Linked DNA regions of Xenopus tropicalis. The main gene of each other region encodes a partner of the protein of the gene in region 3 in a complex. Links are inferred from orthologs where the notes say so. Each region holds a gene or a part of one and is shown on either strand. Other genes may lie near its edges.

Region 1 (3,580 bases), on a different chromosome or scaffold from region 3:
TGTTGTTGCTCCCAATATTCTCTTAGACAACCTCTGAGGCCGTCACAGAGCAGCTGTATTTGTACTGACATTAGATTACACACAGGTGCACTCTATTTAGTCATTAGCACTCATCAGGCAATGTCTATGGGCAACTGACTGCACTCAGACCAAAGGGGGCTGAATAATTACGCAAACCCCACTTTGCAGTTATTTATTTGTAAAAAATGTTTGGAATCATGTATGATTTTCATTCCACTTCTCACATGTACACCACTTTGTATTGGTCTTTCACGTGGAATTCCAATAAAATTGATTCATGTTTGTGGCTGTAATGTGAAAAAATGTGGAAAAGTTCAAGGGGGCCGAATACTTTTGCAAGCCACTGTATTTCGTAGATAACACACATTTTTTAGTAACCCTGTAGCCTTTAGCTGTAAAAATCCCCATACAGAACCATTGCAATTCTAAATATTCTAGTTGTCATTAAACCAGTGGAATGACCTAATCACTGAACCCCTCTTGTGACAATGCTTTCAAGGGTCACTAAGCCTTAATTTTCTCCCTGTATTTTTCAAGCAAAAAAAATGTACAGCTGAATGTATAATGTGTTTCCTCCTGCTCCATTTCACCTAAGGTTTCATGAAGGGATACTGGCTTAATTTGCTATTTAAGCCTCTCATAGCACACACTGGCCACAACTTACTGTATCCCAAATCAAACGCCACCCTTTAATGCTATAATCTCCTAATAATAAATCAGCAAAAGACAAAGAATTAAGTTATGGAAGAATTCTCGTAAAGAAGAATTAGTGTAAACTTTCTTAGCGTGATTCTTTGAGCTCTCTTGCTTTCTTTACAGTAACTTTTTAAAATGAATAGCAATAAACAATTGTGATATTAGATATTAGGAGTTTTATACTACTTGGCAGGCTTTCAGCTCAATAGCTTTTTGAAGACCCTGTGTCACTGCTCATTCTCAGTTGAGCCAAACACCTGGTATTAGCAGTCTGCAGAAACTGCAAATATTTCTATATTTTTAGACACCACATATAAAATTAATGTGAATTAATGATTTTAGCCTGCCTTTAAAAGAAAATACTTTTATAATAAGACATTACCATACTATAGGTATGCCCTTGTACCAAGCAGAACCTACTAGAAAAATGTATAGTGAACTTCAGTGTACACTCTGCTTGTGAACCAGGTATAGAACAAAAGATGATTGTGCCACCCAACTTACAGACCTTACTGATGGAAGCTGGAACTTACTTTGATCATCTATGCCATCTCTTAAGGGAACATTCAAACAGTAATATCTTCCACTTTCTGCTCCCACTTCGTACATATCCCCTATAGGATAAAACAGAAGCTGAATAATAAATATAATCAAAGTTTGTGGGGTTAAATTATCGAGTACCTTTCTTAGGCTCATGGCAATAGCTGACCATTTGTTTCTGGTAATGCCTTACAAGGCACCAGTTTGGTTATCAGGTAAATGTGTATGCTTCATGGAGGTGTGTTTTAAGACTCTGTGGGACAAAAGAGTGTCTGACATTGTGGGTTAATGAATTCCACAGGTATGGAGCTGCTCTAGTAAAGGTGAGCATGTGATGAGGTTACTAGAGCATCATTACCGTATATAGTCGAGAATAAGCCGAGGCGGAGCTTTCAGCACATTTTTCATGCTGAAAATCTCGGCTTATACTCGAGTATATACGGTAAGTTTAAGATCATTAGAGGATTGAAGTGGTTGATTTGGGGTGTACCTGGAGATAGGGCTGGAAATGTAAGGTGGAACATTGTTACTGAGGGCTTTGTAGGCGAATGTAAGGAGTAATAATTACATGGTCCTTCCCTACTGTTTTTTTCTTGTGAGGAGCTTCAGCTCCATGGACTTCCTTTCAGAACCAAGTCATTTGCTATCCTAATTAATAACTAACTCACACAATATTTAACCTATTGGACCATGGCTTGACAGTGTTTCATCACTTTAAAGTAAATACACATTATTATAGCTCTCTTTTGCATGCAGAACAGCAATTTACATGTTAGTAATGTCTGAATACAAAAAGGGTGCAAGATTGGCTACAGGAGGAAAAAAAAAAAGGTATACACAAGTGTTTATCCATGTAATCCAAATATATAATTACGTTTATCCATTTTGCACACTCGGCCGTTTCAAAGGCTGTTTATTACTGGTGAGCGACTGCCTACACTAGCAGATAAAGACTATTTTAGTATTACGGTCACATACTGGTGTATCTATTGTGAAGGTAGAAAAATGGCTTAGAAATTTGGACACAAGGGCAAACAGCCAATTATTCTTATTATTCTGACTATAGACCTTTCTTGCCTATTGTCTGGAATATAAAAGACTGGCTGTATATCAAAATGAAACATTTTATAATGCTATTTGGCCACTAGTTGCTAATTTATTATTAGCAAAATGATTTACAATAAGAGTAAGCATTTCAAGACATTTCTCCACCTGTGCTCCAACATTATGGTGTGTGTCCAACTGCCCTCATTTCTACTGTTCCTTTTAACAGTACTCACCTGTACCAGGGAAAAAATAATTCCCATACTTGTGAAATGATACTGTCATAACTCTGTCAGTGAGGTAGAATGCTTCCTGTACTCCATCTCCATGATGAATATCAATATCTACATAAAGAACACGAGGATGATACCTAGGGGTAAACCCACAAAACATTATGTTAACATGAAGTTCATAAAACAGGTAACATCCCTTTTGGGAAGTTATGTGCATCAGACTAAAACACAAGGAGAAAGAAATTAATTAATACTGCACAGTATGTGCATGCATTAACCCCTTTTGGGAAAGCAAGCTTCCTTTTGGGAGCACCCCTTGCAATTTTTCATTGTTTTTTTTTATTGTTTTGGATAAGTACCAGAGATTACAGGCCACACAAATGCACAAATAGTTACTACAGCTAAAAAATTTTGAAAAGTGAATCAAATGTATTTTTCCAAAACTACATGTTACTCTAATATTAGAAGCTGTTATTAGGTTCATAACTGCAGCATCCCAGAGAATGGGCAAGCATTCGCAGACTAGGCATTGTAAAACCAATGTAGAATGTATTATAGGATTATAAAATAAGACAAATTATCATAGGACTGCATCTACATCAGGGGTTCCCAAACGTTTTTACCTGTGAACAACTTTTAAATGTAAAAAAAGTTGGGGAGCAATGCAAGCATGAAAAAAGGTCCTAAAGATTGACCAGTAAGGGCTGTGATTGGTTATTTGGTAACTCAGTGTAGACTGGCAGCCTACAGGGGCCTCTGTTTGGCAGTACACATGGTTTCTATGCCTCCAATTCAGAAATTAAAAAATAAGCCCCTGCTTTGAGGTCCTTGGTAACAACATCCAATAGGTTGGTGAGCAACATGTTGCTTGCGAGCCACAGGTGGCGGATCACTGATCTACATGATGACAGCATACCTATTTATGGAAGTTTCTTCTTTTAGGAGAAAGCCATTTTAATTCAGATTTATGGTACTTACTTAAGTAGCTCAAGAATGCCAATAACGATGTCATTCACATAACAAAACCCAGATGCCTGTGATAAACA
Region 2 (3,580 bases), on a different chromosome or scaffold from region 3:
TCCCATTTTAATGCTGATTGGCTGCTGAGACGGGGGTGATATCACTCCAACTTGCAGCTCAGCAGTAATGTGTGACTGATGTTTATCAGAGCAAAGGTCACATGGCTGTGGCACCCTGGGAAATGAAGAATATGTTTAGCCCTATGTCATATTTAAAAAAATCTATTTGTGTTTTTGAAAATGGATTTCAGTGAAGGATTCTGCTGTACCAGCTCTATTAACTGGTGCGTTTTGAAAAAACATGTTCCCATGACAGTATTCCTTTAACTGTGTGAGCCAACCAACTCTCATACCCAATATCTGTAAACATAGATATTTTGTCTTCAAGAGAAAGTACAGTCAATAAAAATATATCACACTTATTAGAAGAATTCATTTAATGTTGAACAGTATTTTTATACATTTATCTGCCCACAGTTTCAGTGTCTCTCCCTTCAGCTGTTGACTCATTTGACAGTTATATAATGAGAATAGGGTTGCTAAGGAGAGGGTGGAGCAATAGCTCTTTCTTACAAAATCACTGAACCCAGCCAGGAAAGAAACCCAGTCCAAAATACATTTCCTCTTCAATATAATGCAACATTTCATTACCTTAGATTTTTGATCATCCAGAACAGTAGTGCCCATTTGGAGGCCCATGAGTTGGTATTTGTACCAATGGCTCCATGTACATCATCATTTTGATATAATCTAATCTACAAATAACTACTATGTCAGATAATTAGCGCACTACACAGGAAATGTTGGGCAGAGCTGATCTAGGGAATATCTGACACACAATATCTTACTTCACAAACTATTATGGCCTCAGAGTTACCCCTGAACAAACCCTAGCATATTAGATAATGTCTTGACAATTCAACAATTGAAGCTTTGCACAGCTAGAGGGGGAGCTTTGTAATGATAGCAGTGCAATGCGAGACAGCAATGTTACAATGCAGTTGCTTCTATAGCTTTCTAAAAAATAAAAAGGCTAAAAGTTACATTTAGTTTATGTACAATATATACAGTCTAGGAGGGAAACATAAATACCTCAGGAGTATCAGCGTCATGAACAGGGGAATCACCTCCATCATCATCACTGCCTTTCCTTTTCCTTCTATTTCTGACACTCTGAATTAAGTTCTTGTGAAAGTCACAAATATAAAGGTGCCTTGCCTAAATAAAGGACAGAAACAAATGTTTGCAGATATATCCTAGAGAGAAAATGATCATAAACAGAACAAGCACAGACTTTTCCTACTATCTGGTAAAGCTTAGTAAATACTAGAAATGGCGGAAGTGGAAGACAAGCAGATCATCTACTACAGGGCACACAATTTTATGGGACTCCCATAATGCATTGAGATACATATGCTTTCTCACTGACGGTGGCATTATTAGTAGTTTTGTGCGTTACAGAACCCACCAGCCATCCCTGAATTTTTTGGAATTCAACTATATTTTGAAAATAGGATGTGCAGATTGCACCAACCTGTCACTAAAATACTTGGTTGATAGTGTCTACAAGAACATCTGCCAGAATCTAACACTCCCTTTAAATGCTGCAGGAATCAGGTTGCTGCCCAACAAAAAGTAGACACCAACTCATCTCAGGATGCAAAGAGTCATGTCTGAGGTTATGGCAGTTGTCCCCCCAAAAGTTTTGTTTTTTGAATAGAAGTCCTTAGGAAAGCAGGTCCTCCGGATGATAGATAACAGAACAGGACTAACCATTCCCATTTATAAAGGCGTTTTATAAATAAAGGTGTTTTATACTAGGCCTGTGTGGGACAGTTTGTGAATTTGTGCACTTAAAAATACTAGAGCCTATTTTGAATCTCAGGTCTCTTGAGTGTGAAATTATTGTTTACTAGTGGGTATATACAGTAGATTATACAACTCCAGTAGGAGAATGGACTAAAAGTGGCTTTATATTTGAAGATCTGCTTGTTTGCCGAGGTCGTCAAATGAGCTTATCTGTCACCGATATGTCCATCTTGAGGTGGACGACATCAGATTGATTTGATTGTTTGGCCCGTCGCATCGAATTGACGGGATACAGGCCATCGAGATGAGGACTGAATTGATGTGGTGATGCACTCCTCATCACTACTGGATATTTAAACATGCCCGATTTTTGGACAGCTATCGGTTGGGGAGGCTCATCTGGGGGCCCCAAAATCAGACATCAGCAGTTTTTATAGCCTGTGTATGGTCACCTTAAGAATACAAGGTGAACTGTCAGACTTTGCTCAGATCAACCTATTTAAAAAAAAAAAATCTTGCCTGATGCCTCTGATACCATTGATATCACAGCATACATTCGCAGACATGGGGAATATTGGTGTGTGTTTTTACCAGCATGTATCCTTAGAGGCAAACTCTTATTGCTATAGTCATGTATATACAATATGCTGTATTAGATATATCAAATGGTATATAAATTAAATCTTTATAATCAACATGTCAGTGATTTTACTCCAGACTGAGGCCAATATATTTCACTATTACACCACCTCGGAGCTGGAGTATCCCAATCAAGTCAATGGGACAAATCACATGGTAAAAAAAAATTCGGACATATAAAGGGTGTAGAAAGCTATGCAAAGTGGTGACAATTAAGACAATCAACACTCCTGTTAAAAAAAACCAAAACATTTCTCTTTTTAATCTAGTATTTCACACAATGCTAAATACACCAAAGATGATTACACAACTGTGTAACCACTTATGACAGTATGAGGTATAATGGGATGCTGATGTGGTAATCCTTGGTGTATTCTATTGCAGTGCCTTTTGTAATAACCTATATAATTAAATATGTCAACCTCAACATAATATTATTTTACTCCTGCAAAAAACTCAGTCTTTTATGGTTTGACAGTTGCCCATTCCAAATCCTTGGTTCATGATGGAATGTGTGTATGAAAATCAGAATAATTAAATATATTTCCTTGATCATGTAACCTAAAGTCATTTAATTTTTGCTTTGGATTCAGCTTGGTCAGAAAATGGACAATGATCAGATTAACCTTGAACAAGACATTAATATCACGGTAGACATGGATCATGAATCAAGCACTACACTTACCCCAGGTATGCCAATAAATTCAGTGCAGCAAATGAATAGATTCAAAGCATTACCTCACCACACATACACAAGCTGAGTTCCCCTAAATCCTCCCATTCTGCTCATCTCTCTCACTCCCCCTTGCCTGCGATGAAACTCTATGGTTGTGCATTCCACTGTGAAATGCTTATACCAATTGATACAATTTAATCAAAGAGCTCCAAGCAGTATTAACAAACTCGGGCAGAGCCCTTTCTCAAGTTTCACTTGAAAAAGTGTACACTTGAGAAAGGGCTCTGCCCAAAACATATAGGGGTGTATTTATTATGCTGTGTAAAACTAACAGTAAAAAGCTGTGTAAAATAAGTGGAAAAGATCGCCATCTTAACGGCGGATATTACGCAGTTATTTTCCATAAGTTCTGGTGGAAGAAAAAACGCGTAAAACAATGACGCCATTTTAACGCCATTTTTATACGGCGAAGCCCGGCGAATTTTCTCGCCATTTCTTACACAGTATAATAAATAT
Region 3 (3,181 bases):
TGGAAGCCCTTCTTTTACACAATCTATACTATGTATGGATCATTAAAGACAACCTACTGTTCATTACAATTGCCAGAATCCTTTAAGCTATAAATTCTGCCTCATCCATTAGACGGCACACATAAGATAGGCCCAGAATGCATTCATTGTGACACGGAGTAAGGCACAAAAGGGCAAGGATATTTTCTTTAATTCCAAACAAAAGTATATACACAGCACTGAAATCCCAAGGAAGATTACAAGGAAGATGCATACGGTACAAGGATTTCTTAGTGGGCATCCAATGTGTGGAGTCCTTTATAAAATACTATCTCCTTTTATGATCTCTGTCTTGATGGCTCCTGTCCCTTTCCTGGCTCCTGTTCTGGCCCCTATTCCTGTCCCTGTCCCTGTCCTGGCCCCTATACCCTTCCCGATTCCTGTCCCTGTCCTGGCCCCTATTCCCTTCCCGGCTCCTGTCCCTTTCCCCTTCCCGGCTTCTGGCCCTGTCCTGGCCCCTATACCCTTCCCGGCTCCTGTCCCTATCCTGGCCCCTGTCTCTTTGCCTGTCTTTGCTCCTGCTCCTCTTTTCCTTGTTTCTCTCTTTATCTTTGCTATTCCCACAATCATAGTTATTTATGCTCCTACTCCTGCTTCTACTCTTACTTCTATGCCTGTTCCTTGGCTGTTCACTGCTGGAGTTACTGTTGGCTCTAGCTCTATAATGCCTTTGGCTTTTCTGTGACTTCTTAGTCCGTTTCTGGATACTACTGTCTGAGTTACAGTCAGGACTTACTACATCCTGCTATTTCTTCTGCGTTCACTCAACAATTGCTCCGAGGCTTTGGTCTTTCTTGTTTTCTGCTTTTCATCAGAGTCACTGCTGCTTTGGTCTGTTTCCTTAGCATTTTTCTCTTTTTTGGTCTCCTTCTTCTTGTGTCTTTGTTCCTCTTCACTCTCCGACTCACTCGCACTGCTACTAGATGTGTCACTGGAGGAGCTGCTGCTTTTGCGCTTCTTATGCTTAGTCTTGCTTTTCTTCTTCTGGGATTTCTTCTGTTTCTTTTCTTTCTTCTTTTTCTTCTTTTCAAGTCGATCTAGCTTCCTATTTGAGACAAAAATGGCAAAATGGAAAAAAAAGTTCTTATTGCCCAATAAGCAATTTATCCAAGAAGCAGATTATATTATTTGTTTCATGTTTTTAAATAGGAACACTGAATTATAAAATAACCCCCCCCACACACAGAAAAAACTGTAAAGATAAGCAGATACATTTTTTGATAAAGCAATACTCTCTCATCTTTATATAATCATAGCCGCAGTTTTGTTGCCAAGGGTCCTGTTCACAGCATAGTTTACCTTATTTTAAATTAAAGGAGATGTCAGCCATCAAAACAAAACTTGTGTAAAATTGTAATTTACATTTCTTTTCATTTAAGATATTTGCAATTTTTACACTGCGAATATAGCGAAACTGAAACAACTGTGCCACCTGCTGGTTAGCTTTTTACTGCCCTGACAGCCAAAGGGAAAGTCTTCTGATTTTGCTCTGCTTAGAAGAGAGACAACGACATTTCTCTACACTTAATTTTTTACTGTCTTCCATTTAGCTGCCCATTTCTGCAACCGATACAGTTCAGATGGCTATGAAAATGATTTTATTACAGAAGTAAGTAGATAACCATGGTTACAAGGTAGCTTACCCGTCCATGAAAGTGGAAAGATTTACATTTAAAAAGCCAAGGTATTGTTTCGTATATAATATCTGGTAGAGTAAGCAATGTCAAGAAAGAATTATCTATGGTCAAAAGATTCCATTACTAGAGTAACTAAAGCTGGACACACACATGGAGATTGTCAGGCCTCTGCAGGTAATTGACCAATCCACAAGAAAACTCATCTTGGTGTTTCCAGCCATTGCAAAGATTTGGTTATCTTTCCCTCATGCCATTAATATGTGCAGGAGGATATAAGAGTGAAAGTGTGAGAGTTGGCACCTTCCCCCTACCTTGCAGATAGATATTGTTATATACAATCCAGTTATTCAGCCTAATAATCTACTACACAGTAGATAGTTCTATATATACAGGTATGGGATTGGTCAAATTTATAATACCTCCAAATTACAGGAAGGTCATTCTTGACTCCATTTTAATCAAATTAACTGATTTAATTTTCTCTGTAACAATGAAACAGTACCTTGTACTTGATCCCAATCCTTATTGGAGGCATAGCAATCCTATTTCTAATTAATGTTAATGTCCAAATTACAGGAGAATCCTTTATCTGGAAAACCCCATATTCTGTGCATTCTGGATAAAAGGTCCCATACCTGTATTAACTTGCGATAACTGTATGTTAACATAAAACAGTGAGCATGTATGACAATGTTTCAGAAATATGCCTCAATATGGCGGGGGGGGGGGGGGAGGCTAATGAAAAACCCTCATGTATCTAAATCTTCCTTAGTGGTATTAGGCTATTTCCTCCCCCCAAAATATATCTTGCCAAACATAGCTATTATTCCATTTACAAACTGCGTAAGGCGCTGTACGAAATAGCCGTTTTTCTCTTTAGAAACCATGTGAAATATAACCACGTATCTGCACTTAACATAATACTAGCATCCCTGCTGGAGATGAAAAATGTATCCAAAGGGGAAAACTATACAACAACTCACAATCTAAATCCTATAATTCATTTTCTTCTCATTGTGGAATATTTTCCTTCAATGGACAATTCAATTACAGTATGCATTACAAGCTATATAAATACAAACCATGCTGTTAAGACAGAATTAGGTTTTTTTGAAAATAGAACAATTTAAGAAGGACGCCTTTCATGGACTTGGTCTTATGTGCGGAGATATTTATACATATTTTTGTGAAATCACACACGCCCTAAATATCTCTTGATATCTTTTAAACAAAATGTACATTATTCTACAGCTGGTTCCGCAATGCCAAACAGACTGTTTATCCTATGGGCTATATTGTTGCATTGCATGTTCCATTGGCAACAAACGCACCTAACCAAATTAAAGCAGTTGGCAAATTATAGGACTAAACCAGCAGAGAGCAGGCCAGACTGTGATTCAAAAATAGTCCCTGGTATTTCAAGTAAACAGAGGCCCAAACTGCCCCCTCCAGCCCACACTAATTGGTTACTGTCTACAGTATGTGTAGGGAACAAAACTGTATTT

The links. The genes of interacting proteins can lie anywhere in the genome.
Region 1: cir1 (region 3) and hdac3 share a complex: the UniProt entries of both Homo sapiens proteins name them as parts of the notch corepressor complex. The link is inferred for Xenopus tropicalis from reciprocal best matches to the Homo sapiens genes CIRSR and HDAC3.
Region 2: cir1 (region 3) and sap30 share a complex: the UniProt entries of both Homo sapiens proteins name them as parts of the histone deacetylase complex. The link is inferred for Xenopus tropicalis from reciprocal best matches to the Homo sapiens genes CIRSR and SAP30.

What each region holds. Positions count from the first base shown.
Region 1 is NC_030679.2:27,758,494-27,762,073, forward strand, and holds part of hdac3 (histone deacetylase 3), read right to left. Parts: intron 3,569-3,580; coding exon 3,513-3,568; intron 2,672-3,512; coding exon 2,538-2,671; intron 1,332-2,537; coding exon 1,251-1,331; intron 1-1,250. UniProt on the Homo sapiens protein: Histone deacetylase that catalyzes the deacetylation of lysine residues on the N-terminal part of the core histones (H2A, H2B, H3 and H4), and some other non-histone substrates.
Region 2 is NC_030677.2:48,755,312-48,758,891, forward strand, and holds part of sap30 (histone deacetylase complex subunit SAP30), read right to left. Parts: intron 1,159-3,580; coding exon 1,033-1,158; intron 1-1,032. UniProt on the Homo sapiens protein: Involved in the functional recruitment of the Sin3-histone deacetylase complex (HDAC) to a specific subset of N-CoR corepressor complexes. Capable of transcription repression by N-CoR.
Region 3 is NC_030685.2:66,439,974-66,443,154, reverse strand, and holds the end of cir1 (corepressor interacting with RBPJ 1), read right to left. Parts: intron 1,085-3,181; coding exon 775-1,084; 3' UTR 533-774; downstream 1-532. UniProt on the Homo sapiens protein: May modulate splice site selection during alternative splicing of pre-mRNAs. Regulates transcription and acts as corepressor for RBPJ. Recruits RBPJ to the Sin3-histone deacetylase complex (HDAC). Required for RBPJ-mediated repression of transcription.